Linked DNA regions of Saccharomyces cerevisiae S288C. The protein of the gene in region 2 interacts with the protein of the main gene of each other region in a biochemical or structural test. Each region holds a gene or a part of one and is shown on either strand. Other genes may lie near its edges. The genes, in order: ASR1 and NMD5.

Region 1 (3,614 bases), on a different chromosome or scaffold from region 2:
TATTGCCCCATCTACGGCGGCTTCTTGCCCACCAAGTACGTCGGGTACTATAAACGGGGCCAACCTCGGAACGGCTAACAGTAATAGCAATAGACCGGCTTCTAACTCAATATCGTCTTATTTTTCATATAATCCAAGCTCTAGTTCTAGCGGAAATGCTACGTTAGTTCAAGATGACATTAACGTTTATTCGCACATTATAAATGATACATTAAATGAAGTAAATCTATTTCCAGAAGTCTCAAAATATTGGAATAAGAATGCTCTGAAGGCAAATTTGTTGAGAAATGAAGAACATAAATACGAAAAATATTATAGTATTATGAATGATACTAAAGGTGGGTATTTACGCTTTCACAAAAGTCAATTGAATAAACTGAATTTACCTAATTTTGAAATATTGAATGATAATAGCCGGTCTGGATGCAAGAACTCCGATTATAAGTATTGCAAAATCCTTCAAATGGGAGCAATAATGAATTTGGGGATGCCCAGTAGAAAATTTTCTATTGTTAACTCCGCTAAAATTCATTGGAAAAAGGAATTTGCCATATTAACATCATTGGGGCTTTTGATCTGCGATAAAATGGACTGGATAAATCCACAGATGATGAAGGACCCAAAATCAGGAACTACAAACTATATAATTGATTTTAAATCAGGATTTTCTTTTGTTCCGGGAAGTACGATTGACGTGTATAACGGTTTATTTGCTGATAGGGAGCGAGATTCACTTGGGAAATCTCATTTCGCAAGTTTGGTACTTGCGTATACAGAGCATCATTCTACTGGGAGTCATACAAGCAACACAACTGCAGCAAGTAGCTCCGCCAAACACAATGAAGGAGTCTTCGAGCCATCTTCAGATGAAGAGGATAGCATAACGAATTCTACTGATGGTACGAGCAGTGTGAGTAACGGCGAGAGTGACAACGATAGTGTTTCTAGTTCAGATAATCAACTCAGTTCAAATGACAGTAATGAAGATTATCATTCCATTAAGGACGAGTATCCGATTTTCGAAGACGAAAATGCCGATTGTCTATTATACTTACATACATGTCATCGAAATTTTATCTGGAAATGTGCTAATAAGTATGAAAGGGACAACTGGATCGATTCTATCAATCTATTTTCAGCATATGACGGATGCTATGTGGAAATTGGTAGTATAGCAAACACTATTTGTAATAAGAGAAAGCTTACCATTTTGCAGAGGATGGAAAGACTTAGGTCTATAAAATCAGCCAAATGGGAGAAATTGAAAAAATTTGAAAGCACTCTGATGCTTATGGGAAAATGTGTTCCTATTAGCACAAAGACTAAGACAGATATGATAAACCGCATAAGACAGCTGGCTGTCAGAATGGACTGGTTAATCTACGAAATTAAGAGAAGCGAGCTGTTTGTAAGTATCATAAAAGAAGTGACTCGCAAGCAGGCTGAAAAGAATATCTTAGAGCATGGTAAAGGAGAAGAGGAGGGGCAAGGCAATAACGACGATAGTGATGGTATAGATGATATAGAGGAAAGCTTCTTATTCAACGAGAACAGTTTGCAAGTGTGCGTGAGCGACAGTAGTTACGACGAATATAGTAACGAATAAGGGGAAGAAAATAGTACCATGGGTTATAAATGCATGTTATTTATTTATATATTTTTACATATTCTATATGTATGTGTTATACCTTTTTCTTTTTCTCGAAATGTCTATCCAGTCTATTGCTGCCAAGGTTTAAGATCCTAGGACAGCCATCTTTATCTTTACCTAAGCGGCAGCACTCCCAACAATAGAATGCGTCATTGACTCCAACATTTAGATTACAAATTATACAATTTTTAGCTTGTTTACCAAACGAACAGTTTTCACATACTCTAACTTTCCTTTTGGGCCTTACATAAGAGTCGCAGATAGGACATTTGCCATCACATTTTTCACAAAGAAGACCTGTCTGTACACCAGGCTGCTTTAGGCACATTATTAGATCAAACTGATGGCGGGACATGTTTTTTTTGTTGGAGGCTTGTATGTGTGTGGATCTTTTTTGTATCCATCTTCATTTTCTATGTTGAATGCCTTAGTAAGTGAGAAATATGGCAAGTAATGCATATATGGAAGAACAGAAAGTGAGAAAAAAAAATAGAAAAAAAGATGCAAGGAGTTGAGCCAAGGGAGAGACCATACCCTCAGCCAAATATCCAAATATCATATAAAAAGATGGAAGAGTGTCCTATTTGTTTGGCAGATGACCAAGAGGGTGAACAATTTGGATGTTTGAACGTTTGCGGGCATAAATTCCACTTAAACTGTATAAGAGAGTGGCACAAGTATAGTATCAACTTGAAGTGCCCCATCTGCAGGGTTGAATCCACCCATTTAGAAGTTGGCGAAGGGCAACATGCACTTTCTATAAATTTGAAGATGGGGTTTATGATTAAGAATGCTATCGATTATGTGGGGGCCGAAACAACTAACGAAAGAAATGAGGACGATACAGGGGAGCAAGACCAAGAAATAGAATTTCTCAGCGAAAGGCTTAGAGGTACGCTGGTGATGGATACCATTAAGATAATTCAGTGCAGCATATGCGGAGACACAGATGTTTCTCGATTAAGCCTGTATTGCCAAGACTGCGAAGCAATATATCACGAAACATGTCTACGCGGGCTAGCTTGTGAGGTGGGCGATCGCAATACGTGGCAGGAGTGCACAGATTGTAGATCAAATGCATTGCTCGAGCTGCGCATGGGTGCTATCAGTAGCCAACTTGCTAGCTACGATTCCAGGAATTCCATGATTTTTGCTGGTGAGTTACGGGACAAGCACAGCGTCAAGACACAGCAGATGTATGAACAGATACGGAATGCCAAGCACAAAATCCAGATGCACGTGCGACGAGCACTGGACCGGTACCCACTGCCTCTGCTGCGCTTCAAGGATGCCTACAAGCACGTCAACAAGCAAGTATCCCGCAAGTTGTACCGTCTCTCTGACAACAAGTACCTGCCTGACCAGTACGATTACGACTCTTTAGCCCGAACTGGAGTGCACACAGAACTCCTAATTTACTGTCATGATGAGTAGTAATGCAATATAACATTAAAACAAGATATAAACAGTATAATACTCTAGTATGAGCCCTAAAAAAAACCCTCAGAAGCGGGTGACCCATCTCTCGTACGACGTATAAAAGCACAAGTTTGACCCATAGAATTTTTTTTTCACATCTTCCTTTGTTTGCTTCTTCGTCTTCAATAGAAAACAGTTGAACAAACTCAAATATAGCACCATTGTGAGTGCTACTGCACTACAAAGAGGCAGATTAAGCGACCAGTAGGTCCCTTGGAAGAGATAATATATGAGTTCCTTTTTTCTTTTTCCATTTTCTTTCTGTGTGACTCCCCTATGATTAAAAATTATTAATCATATACCAATTGTTCCGACTGAATAGTGGTTTAACTACATGTCGACAACCCTTTTTCGTTAAGTTTCAGCCTTGTATGAGGGGTGCCACGGAAGGGAAGAAAAGAAAGCATTTATCTTTCATTATTATCTTTTTCATGCCTGCAATGGAATTTTTAATTTTCCTTTTGATATGATGATTTGTTGTCGA
Region 2 (5,810 bases):
CAGGTAGTCCAGCTCTCTTTGGTTTGTCCTTATTATGTAGAACAAAGATAGAAATAACGGTTTCCTCACTCATTCTATTCAAAACCTTTTGTTGTTCAGCAATCTCTTTTTCCAGCTCAGAAACAGCATAGTGGAGGGTAGTTCTAGTATCGTCAACTTCATCCACAATTAGGACCTTTTTACCAATTAAGGAATCGAAATGTTGGTTCAAAGCACCGAAGTCCAGCCATTGTGTTCTGATGACCTCTTTGCCGATAGTTTCGACGCTATTATCCAACCCTAAATCTTCATACAAAGATAGGCCGATGGCCTGAATCGGAATATTCTTTTGTCCTTTAGTTTTCAAAAAGGACCTAATAATTCTTGCGGGGATCATACCACCACCAGTGATGGCGATAATAATATCAGGTCTTTCGTTTCTAGCTAAGATATGTTTAGCCACTCCCTGACAAAGCTTGTGAATATTATTATAGGAGATGTACATTCTCTCATTTTCGGCCATCTTGGTACAAGTATATTTTGAAGTGATCAATGTTTATGAAATCTAGTACAAGGATGGGCTATGCAAAAGAAAGACTGACAAAACTCAGATATTTTTCTTTCCGATTTAACTACGATTCTTTCCCCAGCTTAGAGATAAAAAAAGCTTGTGATTTTTTTAGGTTCATCGCATTGACTCCAGATAAAAAAAAAAGATCTTGATATCAAATCAAAGTCAACTGGCCGAGGCAAAGGCAACAAACTTTGAGCATAATATCCTCTCTCTTCTATCTAAATTATGTAATCCAGTGTTTGTTTCAATATACAATCGCCATTTAATTCAATTAGGCATTCATAATTCCCATGAATAGTTCTTGATCAGCCGGGGTCAGATGTCTCAAGATTCCCTGATATCTATTGCTGTCAACATGTTGTAAGTTCGCAATGGACTCCTTGAAAACCTTGTATACGTCAACTGTGTCCAGGATCGACCCCGTTAATGGGTCCTCTTCTAGGTCATCGAAAGTTTCCTTTGCGTCATAACCATCTACGAAGTCCAAGGAATCGGCTCTATTTTTTATCAGTTCCAGATATTTCTCAGTAAGGTCTCCCTCGTCATCATTTTCATCATCGTCTCCAACGTCAAGAAAATTTTCATCCCACTTAGTATCCTCTTCAAAACCGGATGATGAGAATTCCTTGCGTTGGTTAGCTAATTGCCTTAACGCCGTTGGTAGCCTCGAAGCTAACTGCGTAACAATACTCCCTAATTGCGGAACCAAATTTTCTAAGTTCAACACTGAATAATCGTTGCTTTCTAACTTCAGTATAATTTTTAATAACGCAAGAACTGATAATTTGATATCATAGCACCTTTTATAATTCGGAATATAGTCTGTAATCCACGTTTGAAAGAAGATTTCAAGACAACCTTGCTGTTTCAGGTACTGAAGCGTGATCAAAGGCTCTGTTATCATATTTGAGATTACGACATTAAAAGCAGTCACACTAAATACAACATTAGTTTTCAATTCATTCTTTTGCGTTAGAATAGAGCCGACAACATCCGCCAGTAGGCGCTCTCTGTATTGTTGAGGTAAACTGTCATCTAATGCAAGAACCAACTCTTGGGATAAATCAAAAACCACTCTAAGATCGTCTAACGAATTATCTTCTGCAGTAACAGCCTTTTGATATATTTCGAATATGATTTTTGTGTAAAACTCGTTCTTCTTTAATTCGTTCCTTCCATAAATGAGGATATTATTTAAGGCTAGCATGAAATCACTTAAATAATAAGATACCATACTATCTGGTTTTCTATTACATTCTCCAATCAGCTCCAAAATTTTCCAGCTGATGGGTGTGATATCTCTTAGTAGGAATGTAGAGTTCTCTACAAATTCGCAACATTCGCGATAGAAATCTTCGATGTCGTTTTTCAAAATAAACTCTGCAGCTGGATAAAATGACTGTTCCAAGTTTTTTAAAATTTCAGGTGAATTCTCAAAAGACAACAGAATAGATATCGTAGTCGACAAAATACCTAGCGCCGCCATTTGCTTGTCAGATTCATCGGGTATGCTATCAACGTTCGTGAAGGAATCTGGATCCAAATTGGATGTTTCATGCAGATCAATAGCTAATTTCAAAAACTGTTGGACCAAAGTGTTCATTAATTCAACACCAAAAGGTTGTAATTGCTCAGCAAACTGCTCCACAAAATCTTGCATAACGCCTGAAATGACATCAGATTCAAAATCATTAGACAAACTTAGTAATTTCTGCATAGTAGGAACAACGTGTTCGGATAACTTCATATTAAACTGGTCATCACTGATAAAAGTTTGCAATGCCAATGCAGCTGTCAATTCTACAGGTAAAGAATTAGAAGAGTTATTCAGACAATTCATAACACCTTCGTAGATAGTAGAGGTTATTACCGGGTCTTTGAAATCCATAGAACCCAACTTCGAACAAATATCGCAAACACGACTTTGCAGAAACCCATACTGAGACTTAAAAAAAGGTAAAACGTATGTCAATATAAACTTTTCCATCTCACTGGCAAATGGAGAATCTTTAGTTATCAAACGGTCAATAATGCTGGAGAATATTCTCAAACAGGACTCAATTTGCAAGGCATTATCCAACATAATATTGTTGTAATCACCAACGGCACTTTGTAAGGTTGAGACCATAAATTCTAAGGTCGGTTGTAAGGTCGTTTTACCGCGTTTCGTCACGCATGTCGTTAGCAAAGCCAGTGCGGCAAGATCTGGGGAATAGCCGACATCCCAAAAGTCCATATTCCGGTTGATATATTCTTGAGGGTCATTGTCAAAGGCCTCCAAAGTCTCTGCAGTGGGCTTTAGTAGTGGGAAAATGACATGTTGAAGTATTACATTGTAGTGGGGCCCAACAAGTTTCCAAGTTGTTTTCTGCACAACACACTGCTCAACAAAGTTCAATATGTAGTATAAGCATTCGTCACTTAACCACAACTGTCCAGTTCCCCATTTCTCGATTTGATCGAAGACGACTTGCAAAAACTGAGTCAAAAACTCTTCACAGTACATCTGTTTAAACTCATCGTACTGAAACTTCCTTGTTAATGACGTTGATGCGTATCTCTGGAAAAGTCTATAAAGGTTTGCAAGAGCCCATTTCTTACATTTGACCCATGGATTTTTACTTCTGACCTCAATATCTGATATAGCCAAAACTTCCTGAGGCAATGGCTGCTGAATGATGCTGACAAAAAAACATGCCCATGGGGTAAACGATTCTGAGCGTTGTAATGTAAATGGTAGGTCATGGTATGAAACGAACTTATAAATTTTAATGATTAATTTTACCAATTCGCCAATTTGCTCGTTATTCATATATTTACCATCTTGGAAAAGGACATTTGCGCCATAGTTTAATAAAGCAGGGAAATAATTTAAAATCAACTCTTCTAAGTCCTGTCTTTCATCATTATTCTTCCACCTATAGGTCCTAAAAATCTCAGCAAGACACAGAAGTCCGACATATGTTACTGTGATGTCTTCATTTGCGAGTAATTCTAAGGAATTTGGTAACAAATTGCCCCATTTTTTGCTAGGGTAATCTTCTGAAATAATTACAGTAAGGGCAGATTTTAGCACTCTGATACAACGCGGGGAGGTCTTGGACACACTGACCATTGTTTTAATTAACATATCTTTTACTACTGGTTTTTCATCCGGATCAACATGTGAATCTAATAATTCATTTGAACCCTGTCTTGCACCAGCAGACCATCCGTATGTAATCTTATTCTTGAAATATAAGGAAGCTGATAATTTGATGTTTTCTGGTACTTCATCAGCAGCAATGATATCCAGGCATGCGCCTAAGAATCCCGGTACTTTACTTGCATTTTTAAGATGTGTTTCTGCATTAGTTCTTACGGCAGCGTTATGGTCCAAAGTACAGGCAAAGCACTGTAACAATTCTGTAATATCCATCGAGAATAAAATGTCTTCGTCAAAATCAAAATTGTGTCAAATATCCAGACGAAAAATGATTGATTATGCTGAAATATATAAATGAATATTGATTCAAATATACTTTTTTGCTGAAGTAAGCATTGCAAATTTTTCATTTTCCTAAACATGGAAAAAATGGTATAGCACATCATCACACCGCATAGTGAATTTTAAAAGGCGAATCTGGCCACTATATAGCACACTAACCTACAACGACCAACCTGTGGTCAGAGACTGCGATTTTAATATTTCTTCGTCTAATACTGGAAAAGGATGAGCTTCTGTGTTGAAAACAACTTTGGTCAAATCAAACTCGTCTAAAAACAATATATATAAATACTTTAAAGTCTCTGCCAACCAGAAACTTTCCATATTGTTAGATTTCTTTGTAGGTAACGTGATACAATCACTTAAACTGGTGAACCGCCTTAATTTTGGGTCATTACAATCAACACAGGTATTTTCAAAGAAGCTAGTTGCGATTTCCGCCCCCCATTCACGATATTTGTGATCATGAGATAAATGATACATGAACATAATCGATTCCACCGTTTCTGGTCTTTGTAGGTTGTGCCTATCGAGTGGTTTAACAAAAAAATCACCCACAGACGACCGCCACCAACCATCCTGTTTTATGTTTCCATCATTGAAGACAACGATTTCAGGCGCAAGCCCCGAGGAAGACTGCTTGTACATTTGATAACATGTGTCAGTTATCCCTTTAGCCAAATCCCAGTCACTTTTTCTTTCAAGGGAAAGAGAGAAAAACGGACGTCTTCGGGCTTCATGAATAGAAAGGCCCTCAGTAGAGCCTGATGCTAACAATCCCCCCATAAAGCACACGAGGTGGTCCATCTTAGGAGAAAGTTGTCCATGTAGACCTTGTTCTCTTTCCCCAATGTACCACAGAGAAGAGGGTTTGGATTGTGCTAATAAATGCTTTTTCATACCTTCCATGGATTTTCTGTACAGATCATAATAAAGTGTTTCGTGCGTCAATAAATATTGTTTTAGTAAATACTCATAAAAAGAATCACCTCTTGATCCGAACCGGATAGTCGAAGCACCAAACTTCCCAGTATCTGGAAATGTATAAATTGGAACCAATCCATCGTAGGTATTTAGAAGATCGTTATTTTTGTATAATGGCTCGTAAACACGCTCCACCAGCTCCCAATAAGTACGATTTCCTGTCAAATACGCCAGATATTTGAATTCCATTTGTAGCGTAGTGAATTCTGCGGTAGAAGATGCCCCCCCATCTGCATGGTTCTTAACCGCTTGGCCACTATGAAGGTTTATACTTGAGTATGGAATTCCGGTCTGAGTGGATAAGAACGCCAAAGCAAGCCTATCCCCCAAATCTATTGCTTTGTTCAAGTAGACAGTCTTATTACCTACTTCTAAAACATCAGATAGATGATATGCGGATAATAAACCACCTAGCATTCTAATAGTAGTTTCAAAAACATTCACTTCGGCATCAATATCAAAATCCAAAACATCGTTTATCCAATGCTCCGATCTCTGAATTTCTGCCTCGAACTCACTTTTGTATAGTGTGGAGGAGTTATACATTAACATCAAGGTATCCACTGAATCTACGATAATCCAGCCTAACGGCTGGTTGCCACGAGGCATATTATGGGAAGTGTGCTCAATAGGTCCATACACATCGTATCCCCAGCCATGCTTGGAATAGTCTCTCCACGATTCCAAGAACATGCTTTCAATCCGATCTCTCATTTCTCCGGCCCCCGGTGACTTTCTCTCAAAGTGTTCGTACCATGGCACATAGTATATAGCTGCTATGATAGC

Evidence for each region.
Region 1: the proteins of NMD5 (region 2) and ASR1 form a complex in vitro, tested with the Saccharomyces cerevisiae proteins (one study listed by BioGRID).

Annotation. Positions count from the first base shown.
Region 1 is NC_001148.4:719,029-722,642, reverse strand, and holds ASR1 (ubiquitin-protein ligase ASR1), read left to right. Parts: upstream 1-2,218; coding exon 2,219-3,085; downstream 3,086-3,614. Other genes in the region: Arf family guanine nucleotide exchange factor SYT1, read left to right, coding at 1-1,606; U2 snRNP complex subunit RDS3, read right to left, coding at 1,683-2,006.
Region 2 is NC_001142.9:667,683-673,492, reverse strand, and holds NMD5 (Nmd5p), read right to left. Parts: upstream 3,972-5,810; coding exon 825-3,971; downstream 1-824. Other genes in the region: XPT1 (xanthine phosphoribosyltransferase), read right to left, coding at 1-502; MNS1 (mannosyl-oligosaccharide 1,2-alpha-mannosidase), read right to left, coding at 4,200-5,810. UniProt on the Saccharomyces cerevisiae protein: Active in protein import into the nucleus. Its major import substrate is transcription elongation factor TFIIS.